Styela clava: one gene and its partner. The protein of the gene in region 2 purifies or fractionates together with the protein of the main gene of each other region. This does not show direct contact. Links are inferred from orthologs where the notes say so. Each region holds a gene or a part of one and is shown on either strand. Other genes may lie near its edges. The genes, in order: N-alpha-acetyltransferase 15, NatA auxiliary subunit-like; N-alpha-acetyltransferase 50-like.

What was found.
Region 1: the proteins of N-alpha-acetyltransferase 50-like (region 2) and N-alpha-acetyltransferase 15, NatA auxiliary subunit-like purify together in Drosophila melanogaster (affinity purification with mass spectrometry, with the first as the bait; 3 studies listed by BioGRID). This does not show direct contact. The link is inferred for Styela clava from reciprocal best matches to the Drosophila melanogaster genes san and Naa15-16.

Annotation. Positions count from the first base shown.
Region 1 is NC_135258.1:12,775,394-12,785,536, reverse strand, and holds the start of N-alpha-acetyltransferase 15, NatA auxiliary subunit-like, read right to left. Parts: upstream 4,278-10,143; 5' UTR 4,128-4,277; coding exon 4,071-4,127; intron 3,445-4,070; coding exon 3,360-3,444; intron 2,626-3,359; coding exon 2,432-2,625; intron 1,375-2,431; coding exon 1,306-1,374; intron 717-1,305; coding exon 582-716; intron 1-581.
Region 2 is NC_135251.1:20,783,243-20,794,559, reverse strand, and holds N-alpha-acetyltransferase 50-like, read right to left. Parts: upstream 4,691-11,317; 5' UTR 4,561-4,690; coding exon 4,526-4,560; intron 4,133-4,525; coding exon 3,996-4,132; intron 3,587-3,995; coding exon 3,400-3,586; intron 3,152-3,399; coding exon 2,983-3,151; 3' UTR 1,741-2,982; downstream 1-1,740. Other genes in the region: target of rapamycin complex 2 subunit MAPKAP1-like, read right to left, coding at 366-525, 989-1,174; receptor-interacting serine/threonine-protein kinase 1-like, read right to left, coding at 7,891-9,399. UniProt on the Drosophila melanogaster protein: N-alpha-acetyltransferase that acetylates the N-terminus of proteins that retain their initiating methionine. Has a broad substrate specificity: able to acetylate the initiator methionine of most peptides.

The DNA of each region.
Region 1 (10,143 bases), on a different chromosome or scaffold from region 2:
CCTCATTTTTTTTTCTATTCGAGCCATATGTGTCTCTTTTCATTCCGAGTGAGTGAATGAAACATGTTCCTAATTATGTGTGAGAACTCAGCGAACTGTCTGGGTAATAGATTACGCGTTTTCACTTATATTTGTCTGGAAGACCTATTACAATAAAACAATACAATTACATATCTACCAAGTATTCGAGATTCGATTCGAAAAAAATATTCGATTCAGTTCTGAAATCAACAGATGTTCAAAAATTCCCAGCCCTACTCAGAAGCACAACACTGTGAACACGACTGAAATGCTAAAAGCTAATAAAAGATACACAGTGGTGCATTATGTATCAACAAAAGCAGACGAACGATCAATGCCAATACACTAATCACAAGGCTCAGTAAAAGCTCTTAATAATAGAAAGTCACTGGCAATCATTAGAGTAGTTTTCCTCCTAACAAGACTCGAAACACATAAAAAAACTTATTTCACTCAAAAAACTTCTCAAAATTATTTCTGGCAAAACGTTACATACAAAACAAAATAATATTTTAATTTACAATATCTATTCCGAACTGAGTAAAAAACCATCATATCACCTGTTGTGTCTTTCTGAACTCCTCTAAGACTTTGAAAGCCATGTCAAAATCTTTCACAAGATGATTTGCAACTGCATAACCAATCCAAGATGCTCTTTGACCAGACTTCAACTGCAGTAGATTGTACCTTGTTTCCTGGTAAAGTGAAACAACAAGTTAACAATACTTGACTCATATATGCTTTTAAACATTCAAATCATCAGCAAGAAATCCATTGTATCGATCATAATTTAGATAAAGATAATAGCAAGGATTTGTACAAGACGTTATGTTAGAAGCTTCTGTTAGTAGCAGGAATAGTTAGTAGCAGGAATTTTTCCTTTTCAGTTTGGCACCGTCTTAGATAACAAAATAAGTTAACTTAACTGAATTTCTGAAAATTAAATTTAGATTGCTGAATATACAAAATATTCCATTTCAAACTAGACTCAGACTAGGTAATTCAGAATTTCTGGTACTCCAGGTTAGGGTTAGGCCATAATTTCAGGTACAAATACTGCGCAAGTCACTTGACTAGTCCCTGAACTCGTAATAGAACCAAAATGGGGGAAAATTGAAAAAAAAATATGGCCTAACCCTAACCTGGAACACATGCTACGTTCTGGTGTCCGCCATCTTGGTTCACATACTTCGGAAGTACCTAATTTCCAGTTTAAAACTCACCAGTAATCGATTTCCCTACCAATTGCGTCCCAGAAAATTTAAAAAACTGTTATATACAAACCTTATATCCTTCCAAATCTCTCATATGAACTTGCAACATAGATAAATCCCTCAGAATGTGAAGATTGTCCTAAAAAACAATAAAATATTATATATCATATATATGTAATTGATCAGGATCAGCATATTACCCCATGAAAATAAATTATGTATCATGATTAAAAATTATTCTCTGATGGTAATCATGAAGTGATATATCTGTGTATTTTGCACAATTACCCTATTGCAGGGGTGGGCACAATTTTTCAGTTTAAGAGCCGCATGCTGTAAGTCAGAACTTTAAAAGAGCCGCAGAATTTGTGAATTTATTAATATTATCAAAATACCATGAACAGAAAAGAAATTCACACAAGAGTCTAATAACAATAAATAGATAAACAAGGCAGCTATACTCAAATATATGCACAATTTAAGTTCATTTAATTTGTGTTTCCTTATAGCTGATTTAGGAGGGTAGTCTCGTAAGAAGTTTTCATGATTCGTTTCATGGTGCCGTTTATCATTGCTGACTTTATTCTGACTTAGTAGCTTATGACAGATTAAGCACAAAAGTTTATTCTTCTGACTGGTAAATTCGTACGTTCTTCCCATTCTGACTTGACAACTCTGTTTTCATCTTCGTACTTTCATTTTTAATTGAGGACATATTGCACAGTAACTTAGTTAGACTAACTAACCGCAATCAAGCTTCAATACCGCCGACGCATCAATAAACATTGACCATTGTGACGAAAGATTTGCTGACTTGACTGACTTAAATTCAAAATTCAACTCTACAGCAATTTTCATACTAAAACATAATTTGTCCTAATCATTGACGAAAACTTCTTTACGACTTTTAATAAATTAAAAGAGTTTACATTGAAGTTTTTCTCTTAGTTGAAATTTGGATAATATTTTATGTTAGCGAGAAGAGCCGCACAAAAAGTCTGGCGAGCCGCGGTTTGCCCACCCCTGCCCTATTGCAACAAAATTCATAATTATAGACTTCCTTTTTGAAATATTTGTAGTTTTGAAAATAATGAGAAAAGACTCACATTCGCTGACAAAAGAAACTCTTGACTAAATCAACTTTAATAAATAATAAAAACATATACACACATATATATATATATATATATATATACCTTTTCCCATCTGAGAGCGTTTCTGTAACATTTTATTGCTTCATCATATTTTTTATCAGATCTTTGCAGCAGACCGTAGACGTGCCAACAGACATGAGATGTTAAATCATTTTTTAATCCGCGTTTCACAAGTTCATATGCTTCTTCCTTTCTATTTAGACAGTTGAGCGTGAGCCCTTTCATCGCCAATGTTTCTGTAATTAATTATGATAATTCAAGACCATGAAGTACAATTTCTCAAACACGAAAAGTTTGACATCTACAAGATCTACAAGATAAGCCAAATGTTCATAGTAGTCAAATTAAGGTGAGGATTGTAACGATCACATTTTTGAACAATGTTTTCTGTTATGATTTAAAAGATGGGATAATTCTTGTATAATGTTATTACTATTATTGAACCTATACTAAATTATATGTTAACAATGATATTGACAAAAAAAGCTCCTGTCATACTGCGTTACAGATTAGCTCACTTGGTGTTCTAGTTACTTATCGATTTTAATCGGTAAGTATGTTGATAGCTATTTGTCTGTATGTCTGTCTGTTAGATGCATGCGATCGCCGATATCTCACGAAAGCGAGATTGAATCTGCTCCAGATTTTGCATGTGCATTCATCATATTTCGGACCAGAAGCCTATTGATTTTGGATGAATTATGTGTATAATCAGCGAGTTATTAATTAATTAGTAATGGGACACAAGGTGTCACTACGAAGTAAGAGCGCTGTTTTGGGGGATCCCCTAACTTTCAATCGATACCGTAAGTCTTCGGTCTCTGACCAATATTCCCGTTATACTAGTAATCAGCCAGTCAAGGTCTACAAATTGCATGAATTATGCCGAATTCTAGTATTCTTTCTCTCGTTGACTGTTTGGGACCTAAATGGATAAATTCAAAATAGAAATGATAAAATTCAAACAAACCTCCATGTTCTGCAAATTTTGGATTAGAAAGAATCTGTTTTGCAAATTTCAGTCCATTTCTGTACTGTTTCTGTTCGTAACATTTCTAAAAATATAGGAACATGATGTTATTCATATAAAATAAATATAAAATTTGTTTCCATAAGGAAAAGAATAAACAATGCAAAACAATATTCAGTCAGATAACAAAAATAGTGTTTTCAGTAATGATAGTAAAAACTGGAAAACCCCAAATTCGAAGCTTTGTGCTCAAGGCAAGAAATGCTGTTATATTTCAACTTAGCAATGAATAAATTTTTCATATTTAGCTAATTAGTAATAATAAACAGGCGAATGGCAAAAGCATAAACATAAAAAAAACTACTATTTCACCAATAAGTGACTAACAGTTGAGGTTGCGTGAAACTAACTACATTTCCTTGCTCTCTATGCCTTTGCGCAGGTGGATCCGTATGCGTATTACGCAAGGATGCTGTAGCAAGAGTGTAAATGGACTATATGGTTTACAACTATAAAATGCTTGTCTGAAGAAGTCTGACCTTGGTCAGACGAAACGTTACAGAAATACATTTGTGTTCGTGTGCAGCAAGACTCTTGAATTGAATCACCAATAAGACATTTAGAATTATATATACCGTAATATGAATTACATACTTTGAAATTGAAGATTTATTGTAAAATAATTCTCAGAGGAGATATCGGACTACTCACCAATATCCTGTTAAATAGCGTCTTTTCCTTGGGTGGCAATGGCTGTTTGGTAGGCATTTTGAAATTATTGATGAAAAACCTACTGGCTTATCAATTCAATTGCTCTTCTATTGATCAGATATGACGCAGAGTTAAATTCCGAACTTTAAGGCCTAATCGGTAAGTTTAACAACAACTTGACAACCATCTCCTATGAAATTTTTAATAAATTATATATTAGTTAACAGCAAAATTAATTTGATTGCTAGTAGGGATGCCACTTTCGGATTTACGAATCGGATCGATTCGAATCGCATCTTTTCCGAATCGATTCGAATCAGATTTACGCGATTCGGAAAAAGAGAGCGATTTAGCGAAAAAAAAACATTGAACGTTTGTTAAATCGTCGTTTTCGGCGGCTTTAAATCTGCCAGAGTGTGTTTATGCGGCACTCCAAATAACGCCAAATTACGGGACCGAAAAAAATACATTGAACGTGTGTTAATCGTTGTTTTCGGCGGTGTTAAAACTACCGAATGCGTTTATGCAGCACTCCAAATAACACCAAATTACGGGACCGAAAGAAAAACATTGAATATTTGTTAATCGTTGTTTTCGGTGGCGTTTAAACTGCCGAATGCGTTTATGCGGCACTCCAAATAGCAATAAATTACGGGACGTAAATAAATGAAAATGAATTTTTCGTGATTGACTTTTTTACTTGTCTGCCGTCATTTGTTTGAAGTTCGACACAACACACTCTTTTACGCATCACTCGAGATGATGTGTGGCGTAATTACCAGCAAACTGCGAGTTCAGTTTTCCACTAAATAGCCGAAGTTTCCATTATGCGCGAATTCAAATGGATCGTATACCTGAAAATTCGTGACAATTTTGATGAAAATTTTCAACAGCACACCTGCGCTGCCACTAAGTTATTGTACGCCCTGGCATGATTGGATAAAGAATCGGCTACCGACGTCTAGATAATGTTTAATTTTGATTGAAATTTAATTTAAACTTTGTTCTGAGAGCAATATTTCGCGTACATTTGAAGAGAACTATTGCTGAATGAGTTCATCGGCCGGCAATGTTAATTTACAATCATGTATCTCATCCTAAAATATATTTTTATTTTGTTTGCGTTTGTCAGGCTTCCACTCGAGTGGCGGTAAACGAAATCAGGGGGACATAATGTAATAGTACATACACGTCTTTTTTCAGCTGTTACCAAAAAAAGTAGTATTTACTTTTAATTTTGTTAGCGCGATACAAGCGGATAAAACATTTCGGATTATTTCGAGCAAATGTCATAACGGACAGGTGGGAGTAAATAATACTTGAGGAATGGCAACTTGTGCACTGTTTTACATCAACACGTGGCAGATTTCATACCAGACCGAGCATACGGTGCGAATGTCGTCTTACTTTAGCCCCAGCGACCATGTTTGATCGAGATAAAGCGTCAACCAATTATCGCTAGTCAGCGCGGCGTCCATTATGCACATTTGGACTTTCTGAATTACGAAATTAAACGTAGTCCACATTAATAATGAAGCCCGAGTTAGCCAATAACGCTGTTTGCCACAAATAATACTGTCTCTAATATTTATGGTAATTTTTGTTCGCAATCGTAGTCGGATGAACGATTGTTTTTATCGAAATTAATTTAATTTAATCGTGGTAATTTTATCGTCTTCAATCATATTCTTGTAAGCATTTCCCATTTATAGTAATTCAGATGCAATTAGAATGTTTTTGTCGTATTACTCTATGCTGCTAGCATAAATATAAAATATTGTACTAAGATTTTGAAGATAAAGAATCGGTAATAAGGCCGTCCCTAATTCAATATAACAAGAAGGGAAATACCACGGTCACATATACTGGTGTGGGACAAGGGAAAGCAGTGCTGTTACTGTGTTTACGACATAACAGTACAACTGTTCCCTGCTTATTTTCTCATATGAATTCCATCAAATTGCCTCAGCCCTGATACAAGTATAACACAATAACTCAGTATTGTAAGACTCACAGATAAGTTGCAACAGCAAGTTTTTCATCAATGCATTTATTAGTGATATCTATGACCTACATCTTTTTTATCATGATGAAAATAAGTGTGGCTTATTCACTGAAAAACCCTCATCACCCTTGCTATATAGCCTATTCCATTTTCAAATTTTTTTCTTCTAGATTTGAGCTTTTTTGTGAGTTTGGCCAAACATACGCATGTAATAAAAAAAAAAAGCTTAATGGAATCAGATTCGGAAAGATTCGATTCGAAAAGTTTTGATTCGAGATTCGATTCGAAAAAAAATGTATCCAGAAGTGGCAACCCTAATTGCTAGTAATTATGAAATACTGTAGCATATATGATGCAAAATAGATGTAGAACTCTACCAAACAAGTGCTGAAGTGAAAGATAAAATAAAAAATTATTGACAGAACTGTTGAGTTCGCAGAAATTAGAGTATGCTGGAGAAATTAGAGTGGAGATTTTGAAGAAATAAAAATTTCAGTTGAACATCAGACTTGATTAACATAATTTTTTTCCCAGTATAGATAATGTTTTTTCAGATTAGGCATGAGGGTACAGAATAAACAAAGAAAATTGAGCTGTAAAAAATCCTGCAGTTGAATGATGAACACCCGTAAATCTTAGGCTGTTGGTTAACCTCAAGCCTAATCTGAAAAAACATTATCTATGCTGTGAAAAATCATTGCATTGAACCATATCCATCAATAAACTACTTATTAAATTATTATAAGTAATTTGTAAGTGGGTTTATTTTGAATTCATAATTTGCATTGAACTGATACATGAACAATAAAAACAAGAATGAAAAGACCATTAGAATGTGAGGCATTGGAAAATTGAAAATTCCAAACTGAGCGACATATTACCATGAGAGATTGCAAGAAAAATTGAAAGTTGATGTGTTTAAATATATGTATTTATAGCCCAAGTGCAATCTCCTGGGTATTGGATGAGGGATGAGAGTCAAGCCACATCACATGGCCAAATGTTAATAATTAAAAATATGTATGTCTGTCTATGTATAGTATAAATCAAAAATACACATAAACAAATGTGTCTCATTTCAAATGAAATGAAATGTAAGAGTCTATAAAATTTATGTCTTAACTTAGAACTCATAAGAAAATATCAGACAAAAAAATAGCATTCTCAATAATAGCATTAAACAACTTGATGTCTAAAACTAGTCTACTGAAATATTCAAATTGATACCAAATTAACAACAACAAAATTAACGACAAAAATTCTAGTTTGTTATCAATTTAAAATCTAACCATAATGTATTCATACCGCAAAAACATCTGATGATTAAATTGACATATCATAACAATGAATCTAAATATAAAGTCTAGCGGATATCGCCCAATATTTTCGCCATAAACAAATTGTATAAAATTATTTAGCCACTGATAAACAATTTGCAAATTATTTTTTTGCAACTCAGTTATATTTAAGGATAGTTTTTTTATTCAAAATACAAATTTGAATAAGGAGTTTAACATATATTGTTAATACATTGAATTAATTGAAATTAATGTTCAATATTGAAATGACTAACAAGATTAACGATTGATATTGGAATAGCGAATAATTAAAAATATTTCACTAACTCTTATCTAAAAACACAAGGCATACTGGTAATGCAATAAGAATATTAAAAGCAGGTGAGGTACCGTGTTCATAAATAAAAACTATGTTTCATGGCCCAACTTGAATAACTGCATATAAAATCAATTACTAAATGTGGTAGACAGGTAAGTACAAGTGACACAGTCAGACAGTGGGAGTTATTTTTAACTGGTATTTTTAGAAGTACAGCAAACCAGATATTTTTTATGGAATTTGCTATTAAACCAAGTTCAGAAGTTCATGACCACCCGAAAAAAATTAAGCTAAAATCAGCAAAGTCTGAAAGTGCACTAATTTCTGAATTATCTTATCTATAGCCTAATTCCTGATACTGTGATATGACTTCTGTTGAGTTAATACTGAAATAAGGTACCATAAATCTGCAAGTTACAACTGTACAAGTGGGCCTATCGCCCTTCTCTTTGCCACCAGCCCATTCTCACTAATTAAAGCACTAGATTTCAACCCATGCTGCCATGATCTCACACAAACAGACAAAATACTGTGATTACTGGATTATGGGTTCCCCGACGACAAGCGTATTTCCGCCTTAAAAGCAAACCCATGGAATTTACACAATCAGACAGCAGGTTAACGCGCCTAAACTTGTAAGAAACTCAAAATACTGAAATAGGCATATAGCAGTCGGGTCTCATGTAGTTAGGTTTAACTTATCAATCAATCAATCAATTTTATATGCTGAAAAATACCGGTACGGTAGTGACATATGCAAATTCAGAAATTGCTGAATTGTAGGAGCACCATATTAGTCGAGTCATTTTAGCGCATAAACTGACGAGAATATTTCATTCTGACGCCAGTAAATCTTACAAAGGAAAGGCGTGCGCACCAGGAAGATAGCATGAGATTTCGACGGTTTTCGCCTCAGCTGTTATCCGTACTTTTCCTTTGCGCAAGGTTTCACGCTTCATATATTTTTTTCTGACATCACAATGAATACCAACACCCCACGTGCAAATTTGCCAAAATGGAGAAGTAGCAGACAAGAGCTATGATAGGTGTACAGGTGAGGTAACACGTTATTATATGTCGATATTGTACACGAAATGAACAAATATATTGTTTTGTTGTTGAAAACGAAATGGACCTATGAATTATTTTGTCGTTGGAAACGAAGTCCCCTATGGATCGTTTTGGTATTTTTGTTGTTGGAAACGAAATGAACCTATGGATCGTTTTGTTATTTTTTTGTTCTTGATTTTTATATATAGTAACCTATATAATTTTACACATGTCCCCTAGACCATAGGTTCTCAAAGTGCTCCGTACGGAGCCCCAGGGCTCCGCGAGAGAAACCCAGGGGCTCCGCGAGCTATTCGATTACTTTTCAAAATAATGACTAGTTTTGTAACTGTTCAAAGAAGCAATAACAACTTTGATAAAATGTGACAACAATATAGCCTCGAAATATGGCAAAGAGGCGGAATTAAAAAATGACATTATTTATAAGCTGCAGCGCAGCCAGGATTCTCAAGAGGTGGAGATTTGAATCGGAAATTTCCGCGCAACATTCTTTGCGATTATAAAAAACGGATAACGAGATTTCTGTTGCGTAAAATATTCAATGTATGGCCGATGCGAGCATTTATAGTGTCTTGTCGTAATAATTCAATTGTACTCATAGTTACTCGAGTTTCATTCGAGATTACTATTAGGATTACTAAAATGAAAGAATACTATTCTAAAAATTCATAAAATACGTGATAAACTGCCAACTATAAATAAATTGGAGTCGTATTTTTGCGATCTTGGAATTTGTCAAACTTGATTTGTTCTTTTGCACTCGAGATTATTATTAAGCAAGATATCGTCGTCTAAAAAATCACAAGATCTGGGCAAAATACGATTGGACTTTATTTTAATGCATGCGGCTCCGTCGGTAGTTTCAGAATAAAAAAAGGTAAATCGCGCACACAATTGACTGTGTTTCGATTTCGCAGTTACTATATACGATGAATAAATATTTTAGAATGCCGTTTTTCAATAAAGAAATTTAGGTTGCGGATTTACCTCTTTATTATTAATTATTATTTTTAACATTTCGTCGCCGATGACTATATGGTAACATGTTTTTCACATTGAATTCATAATTCCCCACGAGAACAAAAAAGCAATTATCGTCGTCATTGTGGAACAATACATGGATATGCCGAAGAAAAGTTTTGATTTAGAGAGAATAAACACCGGCGTAAAGATGTTTAAAAACATGCCATGCTGACGAAAACTATCGGTGATTGTAACAAAATGCAATCGCGCACGTTATTAGCGGCCTTTTAAGTCTTCCGAAAATGTCAGAAGGGAAAAGATTCGACCACTAGTTTATTAATATGTTTGTCAAGTGTCAAATTTACAGCTTTAGTAAGAGTATATATAATTTATCTTTGAAATTTTGATTTATTTAAG
Region 2 (11,317 bases):
TGACGAAGTATAGTAATAATATTCGGGGTCAAAGGTCGAATGTCCATTTTGTTCTGATTCAACATATTTTCTATCCAATAACTTTACGGGGATGTACTGAACAGTATCTAAAGTCGAAAATCATTGCACGCGGGCACAGTTGTTTTGCACGCTGTGAGCTATAATTGCAAGCCGGGAATTCAGATTTGCACGTGAGAATTTCTGATTGCACAGCCGATTTCTCGTTCAAAAAGGCCATGAAATCCAGACTGGGCCATCAAAACCCTCTATACAATGAAAACAATTCTGTCCTTCAACATATAGTACTTCCTCATGTATCAGTAGTAGCTCATGAAGGTAAAAAAGCCTCATGAAAAATTTCAAACCAGAAAGAATATCAGGTGATGGAGCAAGAGGAGAAAGTGCTTCAGATGAATCAGCATCGATAACAGGATTAGAAGATGAAGTAGTTGACGATTCTGATGGTGTTCTTCGAGGAGATCCAACAGGTGTTGATCTTCCAAATGATTCAGGTAAACCTTTTTTCTGGAATATCAATGATATTCTGTAAATATCTTGTATTATTATTATTGGGTCTTTTGTCAATCAATCCTTCATTCCATACTGGACCATACACAACAACGAGTTTCTATGTCTTTAGCGTTTGACCCACTATACAAAATATACTATGTTAAGATATTATTTTGAAACTTACTAAAAAAACAGAAATAAGCGAAATGACACAATATTTATCATATAGATCCAGATGAACTAAGCCATTATTGCATTTATTTTATCATAAATACAAGTTCAGAAGTTAAGATACCGTACTCAAGATAAATACAGAAATAGGATACCTATCAAATAAAACAGCTGTTCCCCTACCTCAACAATGACTGTTCATAAGAAATCAAAAGCTAAATTTGCAATAATACCAGAACGTCTGAACGAAGAGACATCAATTTCAGAAATTTTTATTGTTTGAATTTACTAGAAAATTTAAACTTACTTGATTCTTTTTCGCCCTTTCAATGCGCTTAGCTTCTTTTAACTCTTTAATTCTCAACCTGTGTTGTGACAGTGTCATCATATCGTTGTCCTGAAGAACCATTTCGCACATTCCTGTGTCATCGCTTGTAATGAAGGAATGGCGAATGTGATCCAAGAGCCAGTCTGGATTGTCTAACATCGCCATGCTTTGGTAAAATAAATACCAGCATTTGTTATCTCATCAAGAATTTTCCCGCGTCGCTAATGAATAGAAAATCAAAAAGAGCACAAGCAAACCCAAACTCATGAACTCTCTCGCCGGTTCGCACTCGCGTAATTTTCTTATTTCAGTGTCTTTTAGTCTTCGAAGCCAGACTGACAACACCGCGGTTTTCCCAGAGGTGCATCGAGTCTCCATATACTGTATTAGGAGTCATAACATTTCAAACCGTGCGCGACTACCCGCCTGTGATGAAACCATTAAACTGTTTCCATCCTTCCCTTTCTTTTAGCCAAATATGAAAGCCCCTATTCGCTTTAATTATTGAAGTTGACAATTGCTTACATTCACCAATATCAATAAACGACCGGCAGTTAAAATCTGGTGGAATTGTTACTCTTTAGGATTTACCGCCGTTTTCCTTTCCCACCATTTAGCGGCCTTTTCGCTCTACCGTTCAAGCTGTTTTAATCGTAAATATATACTACTAATATGCGAAAAACACATCCAATTTTTTGTATCTCACTGTCAACGCTAAATAAACCAAGCTGTAATTCCAAGGACGTTTATTTGAAGCGATTCACTTTAAAATACAAGAAAAATAAAATATTTAGTCCGTTCCAAGTTCAAACAAACACTGGGCTCAATACAAGCGAGTACAGTGCACAATTACCTATACGTCTTGCAAGCAGGGTCAAGCATTAAACTCAATATGAAACCTTTCAAGGCACACTATCAATTCCCACATGAGTTCTCACGAAAATGTATATATTCATATAGACCTATGAATTAGTGACACTGTGACGACACTTATAAAACAAGAGAGCTATGCTCAAATATATGGACACATAATTTGGATGACGTCATAGCGAAAAAAAAAGTAATAGCCTTCTGGAGTAATTTTTCATCTTCAACCACTGAAAATTTCAAAGCAATTGGTCCAATATTCGAAGAGAAAAGCGATTTCTTCAAAACGTGTTAACGGAGACAAATAATAACAATAACAACAAAATTTTGAAACGATTGTTATGTCCACTACGTGTCCAACAAGTGAATATAACTGAAGATCATTAGCATCTAGGCCTTGGCCAACAAGAATCCTTCAATGTGATTTTAAAATATTATAAACACTCAAGTTCTATGTAAAAATCTTTTTTGCTTGCATTTGACCAATCATAATTAGGCTTGTACTCAAACACAGACGTTTATAGGAGTGAATATGAATGAAATATTTTGTCCCATGCCATTACAATTGATACCCAACCCCAATTGACCCATAAATGTCTTTGGAATGCTGACTGGAAAAGATGAACAGCAGGGGTTGTTCAAATAAAAATGACTTTTCTAGAATGGGATTTTCACACATACAGAATAGAACAAACATTTTATTATTCAAGGCATTTTTCTTTCTCACACTTTGTAAAACTTGTACACTGCACCATTGAAGATAAAATTTTTCATATAACAAGAGATTTTAGCATGTCCTAATTTAGGAATTTTGTTTAAAAGCCAATTGCTAATGTATTTTCAGTTTGTCAACACAGTTTACATAGCAATAGCCAAGAATGAAATGTAACTCAATGATGAGAACACTCCCTGGCATGCACAGAGCTGCATACGTACTGACAAAAATTTTCTAAATAGATACGACACACCAAAACTGAAGGCATTGTTTTTATAAAACTAAATATTTTTATATTTAAGACTGTTGTAACATGCATGGAAGAGCTTCAACCAAACCACTGGAGTTGGAACATAAATCAAATGAAAAGTGCTGAGCAATCTGAATGGAATCAAGGCTTCCCATTGAATGTAGCTCCAGCACAGTTCTCAAGCTTTTTTTCTAATACATAGGCATCGGAAGGCTCTATTCTTTTGTAATAATGGCTTTCAGTTTGAACAATTTCGAAACCGAATTTCATGTAGAAATCCAGAGCAGATTGATTATTGACTTGAACGTGTCTGAAAATAATAATCATAAACAGGAGTTAGTAGAAGCGCTTGAAACAAAAAATGTCATGAATTCATATTCAAGGTTAGAATAGTCTTGGCATGAGGAGCATTATTGAAAGTGTGGAATAGGTTGAATAGTTGATAATATTAAACTAGAATTCTCCAAAATTAACGAGGTATTCTTGAAAAAAAAATAAACAGCCCAAACCTTTGAGAATACACATTTGTTTCTAAACAACAGGAAATAAAATACTCACAAAAATATTGCTGTAATATTTTTATCAGCTTCACATATTTTGAAGACATGGTTGAGCAATACTGTACCAACACCATGTCTTCTGTAAGGTGCTAAGCAACCAAGCGTCATTATGTATAATCTCCTTTTTCCTTTTGAATTATCTATTCGACAACATACTGCACCAACCACTATATCATTGAAAAATGCTGAAAAACAGTATTTTCAAATGCCAAATACACAGATTTTCAAGTGTAATATAAGGATAGGATGGGATTTACATATTTATCCAGGGTGAGAGGAAAGCCGATAAGACGGCTTAATATATGGCGAACCACGACCTCTCGTCTGGTTACCATTCCATGTCGGGTATGGGATTAGTTACTTATTTGTTTTCGGAAGCATGGACTTGATGGTGGTGGAAGCCGCAGAGGTGCAGTGGCGAGCGTATTCCTACCACTTAGCATGATGAGCCACATCGCCGCGCCATATAACTTCAGTCTCTTATGAAAATAAGGAAAATTTAACTATCAAAATATGCCAATTCGCTTATAATTTGTGTGGTATAAATTATCAGTTTTGGACATTAGTGATTTGAATGAAAAAACATCATCTTACCGAGCTTTGCCAAGTCTCCAACATCAAGAACATCTTTATAAAATTTGTCATTGTATGAAACTGGAAAAATAACTTGATTCAAGAGTTTCAATTGTTTTATATTGTGTTGTGTGATATCTCCCAGTTCAATACGAACTCTAAAATAAAAAAAATTAATAATAATTTTAAATAAATCGAACAAATACTCAAAGATACATATAATTCCATGCATCTAACAGTGAAATGTACCAGAAAGCTTTGCACCAAACAGCAAGGTGCCACCAAAGATGCTAAGGATGACAAATTGATATATATTCATACTATCTCAGTAAAAGATGACCATAATATTACACAAGGTAATTCTTTGATTATTCGACAATCCATGTCAGGCTTGCAGATGTATGGATGTTGACATTACAGGGAGGGAACATAAATAATCAGTTTGTATGCATAAGAGTGATGTAACAGAACAGAAAGAAACCTTTGGTGAAATCTGGACATGGGTCAGTAGTGCAAGATTTTCGATTAACAAATTGAAAATAATAGCTTACCCATCCATTGCAGTAGGAACTAACAAATTCTTCATTGAAATTTCAAACGCTAGTTAATTTTCCACAGACCTTCACTGCAGTTGACGTCGATGAACAAGATTGTTGACAATTGTTTCACAATTAGACAATAAATAGTATGAATTCTAAAATAAGGGAATCGAAAAAAAAAAAATTTGAATACACAAAACTCAGTAAGAACATATAATCAGGGTCTCAACATTTTTCTGAGTAATGGAAGAACCAATTCACCAACACAAGCTATGGACAATATTCATGGTGACCCCATGAGTCCTGCGGCACTACGACGAATGCATTTCTATAGCGTTTCTTCTGACCAAAGTCATACTTTTCCAGACAAGCATACTTCAACAATGACAAAAATAATGATAGCATGCACATGAATAATGGTCATCAATTGTTGAATTTTGTTTCCAATAGTGAGAAAAAAAAATTGTGGACTCTCCAAGAACAATAGGGAAGTAAGTTAAAATGTAAGGAAATGTAGAGACTACTAGATCAAAGTCTTATTTGAGATTTTGTAACTTTGCCTTGGACAAATATTTCATTAAAAATCCAATTGAAACAGAGAAACAAAAATCAGCATAAGGTAAGAAAATTGTAAATGAATAAAACATGAACGATTTTCATTTCACCTTTTTTGCAAGTTTGTATATTATCAGATTGTAGATAAGTATACAGAAATATATGCATTTACAAACACATGATAGAGAAAAACTAATAAAATACACTGATTGAATAGTTGGTATGACCAGTGGCTTTCAACAATTTTGCATTTATTGATAAAAAAAAACAAATGTTCATACATAAGTGACACAAAATCCAAATGAATAAAACAGATTATAACAATACCTTTGTTAAGCAGTGCTGTTATATATATAATATATATATAATCTAATACTTTGCTTTATTATTCATTGAATTTAAATCAACAAATTCACAAGCAAGATTTTTGCTACTGTTTTTATACCAGTGTTGTAGAACCAAATTAGTAGTAGGCCTAGTAACTTCATTTCATCTTATCTGTCAAGGTAATAACTATATGGATAGTGACAAATATACAAGAAAAATGAAGACAAAAAAAATTGAAACAAATATAGATTTGAAAACACACAAAGTCGCACAAAACTTCAGTTATTGAATTCAGGTTCAAACTTTGTAAAAGAATATACTTGGGAATTCGAAATATATATTCATTTATAAATGTGCCTACATCACAGCTAAAACACAGGCTGAGAAATTACCGGTTCAAAATAAAGTGAATTACTTCTGAGCAGCAATTTGTTGAATAATGAGTTTCAGAATATTGAATGAAAATTTCATCAATAAAATATGACAGTTAGCGAACAAAACACTAGTTGCAGTGTAGCACCCACATAAATTTTAGAAAATCATATAGCCTACACGTTTACCCAATAGCATTCCTGGAGAATGAAGAATACCATGATATTCCTCCACAAAATAGCAAGCATATTTGTAAGCTTTCATTAAGTCATATTCTTTATAAAGTACTTTAGGCACACAAGCATCATTGTAAAAACAAAGATTTTCAGGATTGAAAACTAGAAAACTATGTGATAAGAAACATCTGGCTATTGTTGTCTCGGCTATTCATGCTGGTTTATCAGAATGTCTATAAAGTTAGTCCGTTTTTATAGTTCCTGTTTTTTATTTGTATATTGTTATTGCAGTTGTATTATATTGAAATTGACACATAGACAAAATCACATCTCCAGATCCATCATCACATATTGCGACACATCACCACAGTAGACATACTGCAATATATAAATGATAGTACCGAAATCAACAAAATCCAAAATTTTGAAGACATAATAAACCTAACAATAAAGGTTTTATCTTGCAACTTTGAATTTAATAACAAAATTTCCCACAAATTCAAGAGACATCCAACCAAATTGGTGACCAAATATTTGAGCTGTTCCATGGCCATAATTGAAACTGGGATATTTGGAGATTTTTGACTTACGCTTTTACAAAAGATTCATAACATAACTAGGACATCAAAATTATAAGACTTAAAAAAATATATACAATACTGCTACCATTCACTCATTAAGTTTAATTTCAAACACTCCCTGCCATTCTTAAACACAATGCATCATCTGGTGGATAATAGGTTAGGAACAGGAAGTTTACTCTAAGTAAACAGACACCCATCAACACATCCTGGTACCTGAAGAACACATACCAGAAGAGTAGCATGGATTATGTAGATATAGATATATTTGTTAGGAATTGCTGAAAAACACATCTTGTCAAAGCCACTGACAGAGCCAAAAAAGACAGGCAGAGCAAAAATACTCATTCCATAACAGATGAAAAAAGGACGGGACATAATAATTCTTATGATATCTGCTATCTACTTGTCATATGAATTGGAAAAAATTTTTAGAACTATACCCTAAAGCAGGACATTTAACGTAAAAAATGATAAACCAATATAGACATATTTTCTAGTTTAGGATGGAAATTCGGTCCTAAGAATTTTTATGATCTGTCTTCACAGTTACATCTTGTTTTGTCCGATGTAGTTAGACTTCGATCGCTTTGAAAGCTTACGAATATATCTACTATTATAGCAGTTGAATAAAGAGGGAGAATTAACTAGCGCCAGTGATTTTCGATAATTAGAAAAAAAATTATAACTTTCAAATTACTAAATTTCATCAAGGAGATTACTAAGTGAACATTGCATAAAAACTAGTGAACAATGTATTTAAAACAAACAAAAAAATTATATCAAATATACAATAAAATCAGAAAGGTATACATGATTACGAGTGGATACAATAATCAAAGACATTATATGTTTAAGAAAATATGTCATTACAGAGAATTTAATGACAAAGGGTTACAAAATATTTGGATAAAAAATTCTGGAACTTTTCTTGAAGAAATATTATTGAGAAAGTGAACTTGCTACCGTGAAAAAAATTATTAATCAAATCAATCAATAAAAAATTTATTTATTTTTTAAAAATGTAACGTTCGCTTCCTATTCAATATTCAAAAAAGTCTAATTGATACCACAAAAGCATATGCTATTGAGGCAATGCCATAATGTACAAGGTCACTTGAAAAAACAGAATCCATAAATTTCCTAATTACTCTGTGAAAATGGAGTAAATTATTTGATTTTGTTTATACTTGAACTTCTGTTTGTGTAGGTTTGTACCAAATCATTTCAGGAATCTAGGACGTTTTGTTCAAATTCTGTAGAAGTTATCAACAAACTTATGGGTTCTGTTTTTTTAAGGGTCACCATATACATAATATAATCAGTGCTAATCCATCCTTCCCAGTTACATTTATTTACAAACTGATTAAGCCAATTTTTGTGCAACATGCAATAAGTCAGCATCACGAAGTGTGTTAAAAAGAAACCCCACTGTAACATTTCCATTTCTTTCTTTCCATCTTCTTAGCATTTGATAAGTAATCTCTGGGAATCCATGCTTGTGAAAATTGGCCTCAATATTATCAAGTTGGGCATCACTAAATCCTAGGTAAAGACCGAATCTTCGCCAATGACGGCCAAGTTCTTCGGCGACTAGATACAGTTCATCAACACCAACAAACTTCGAATATTTTTCCTCTGATAATGTTGGATTTGGTGCAATTGGCGGAGCTTTATTATCTGGAGGTGGTACCGACACTGAGCGACTGAGTTCCATCTGAGGATCGGTTACAGGAACAATCAATGAAACCATAACAGGCTTTGGCTGTGAAGATGCTGAATTCTGGAAAGGAACTGTGTCATCGTTTCTCTGCATTGGTACAGCAACGCCATCATTTGCATTAGCTCTCCCGATATGAGATGGAGCATCCAATCGCCTATGGTGATGCCTTGCAGGCTGCTGATCTCCTGTAGGCGCTGCTATTTCCGAGTCAGGAAAATAAAAATCTTGAACATTTTTTTGACACTCGAGGGCAGCCTTTCTTGAAGCATCCTCACAATTAGCAGACACTGGCCCAATTCGACGAACAAGATCCTCAAATGTGGGTCTGTTTTGTTTCTCGTCCTGCCAACATTTTTTCATAGCATCAGATAACACTTCCGGATGTTCACGACTTATAATTGAGATATCCGGTCTTTCGCCCTCCAAAACACCAACACAAATTGCACCTGTATCTTTACCTTCATACGGTATCTTATTGGTTAGAATCTGCCACAGGACGATAGAATATGCATATACGTCGGCGGATTTGTCAGCAGCAGCATTTACATCTCTGATAAGCTCAGGGGGTACATGACTTATCGAGCTGCCCCCAGATCTTCTTTGTGTTGATCGCAAGGTTTGGCTATAAATTCTACCACATCTTGTCCAGTTATTCATTTCTATGTTTCCACTGAGACCTATATCAGTTATTTTGACTTGAACATTGCCAGTGACAAGTATGTTTGTACACTTTAACAATAGATGCAAGATGTCCTTCTGGTGAAGAAAACACATTCCCATTGCAACTTCATGCGATATTCGAGTTTTCAAGGGCCAAGGAATATCATACCGTTGCAAAAGTTTAGTGAGCGATCCATATTCAGCATATTCAAACACGAGACATAAATGCCCCGGCTCTATAACTGTACCCAGTAAACGAATGACATTCCCAGATACAATCGAAGACAACTTTTTGGCTTCAGTTATTAAAGAATTTCGCTCTCCTTCTGAGACATGATGTTGGCGCGATATGATTCTAATAGCAACTTTATTGAACATACGGTGCCTAGCTGCATATACGACACCATAATCTCCATCCCCAATTTCAACTTTGTCTGTGAAATCCCCGTATTTAAACTCATGGAAACCTTGGGTTGATGAACCATGCGCCATTGCTTTTTGCCAGTGCTAATAGCTTATTATTAAAACCATAACATATCTCTAGATTACAAGAATTGAAAGGATAAAAATGTTATATGAATTATGACAGAATATCCATTCAGAGTTTGTGAACTACTCATGGCATGAAAAAAGAAGTAAGTGACCCACTGTGTACCTTTTCCTAACTCCAATATTTAAGCTTAGGTAAATCAATAACTATTATTTGACTTTGACGATTATTGAAAGCGATCCTGATTGCCCAGCACATCCATTATCTTCCCAATGTTCATCGAATAATAAAGCCATATCTTATAAGATTTCTCCTTTCCTATCCATAAAAATTCGAGTAGGCGTAGCATAACAATTTTTTGACATGCCAATCCTAACCCTCACCTGACTACGCCATTTAAAAATTACGTCACTATGGCGTCGCAATCACGTCATAGAGCTTGCAAGATACTCATCCGATCGCCAGTAAATGGCATCGGCGCCGACGATAAAGAGCTGACATCGGGATCGTTGCGACGAGAAACGAGAGAAATGGCTATTCGATTTCGGGTTTTTGTCTGCGCGTCTTAGATGACAGTTCGTATAGTTTGAAGGGCTCTATTATGTCATTGTGATGTCGTAGTGACCTCATTTTTGGATGGTGTGGTCAGGTGAGGGTCAGGATTGACACGTAAAAAGATTGGTATGCTACGCCTACTAGAAGTATGTTAGGTACGAAACTACATAAGATCCAAAAATTCTTTCTCCTATCCTATTGCTTTATTCACCAAAATCAGTACTTAAATGAGGTGTCTTTAGTTTACTTTTAGCCAATGATACAAAATAGTTATCGAAAAATAAGAAAATATTATTCAGTATTGCCCCAAAACCAGTAAAACTGTAAAAGAATATACACTTTTTATTAACGTTCTAAATATTGATTTAACCTAGCCTCTTAAGGTATTATAATTAAAAAACATATTTCTTTCTTACATCATAAAGTCATAAAATAGATACATACACATAGACACAGGTTTAAAAAATGTGCAATTATTGTCTTAAATATATTTGATCTCAATACAGAAGTGAAAAGAACTCCTGCACTTCGATGTCCTGATGTACGTTCAAATTGAGGAACTGATTTTCGTATTGATATTACTGTGTTTAGGTACAAGCTCATCAGTTATGAAAGAGAAATGTGGTACTATATCGGCCAATCATACCCACAGTTATATTTTAGTACCGATACTTCTGCATTTTTTATTTTATGGGATAATTTAATAAAATATAACCAAAAGTATATAACCATTCGATCAATCATAAGATAAATAATCCAATATTCATTTTTCATATGTCCATTCCATCAGTGTTTGAGGACGAGGTGTTGATCGCATCGGCATACAATTCATCAATTTTAGTATATTGAGTTATATTATGTACAATAAAAGTAAATTATTAAATATATTGGACATGTTCATTTTTATACATACTAAATTTATACACACTTGATTTATATTTCAAATACAATTCCTTAGTATTTCAAATTCTCTGACAAAATTAGGTGATTTTCTATTTTTTCCAATGTTGAGTCTGTTGTAAGTGATTGCAGTTTTTATTTGTTAGATGGTAGGTGCTGATTAGGGGGACTATCTTCGAATATAACAGACTTTCTCTGTATCCATATTTTATATCTAGTAATTGAAATTAAAAAAACAATAATATCTAAATCTCGTCTTGTAATGTAACAAATAGCTCAAATCCAACAAAACACAAGTTTATTAATTTTTCAAAAGTCTGGCATTATTTGATTTCCCAACAGTATTTTCAATAAAATCCAAAACATAATCAAAATATTCACAACTCATAAATAGATGGCTAACAAATTCTGGTTCTTCTCCACATCACACACACATATCATTTCCTGCAATATTTCTTATTCCAG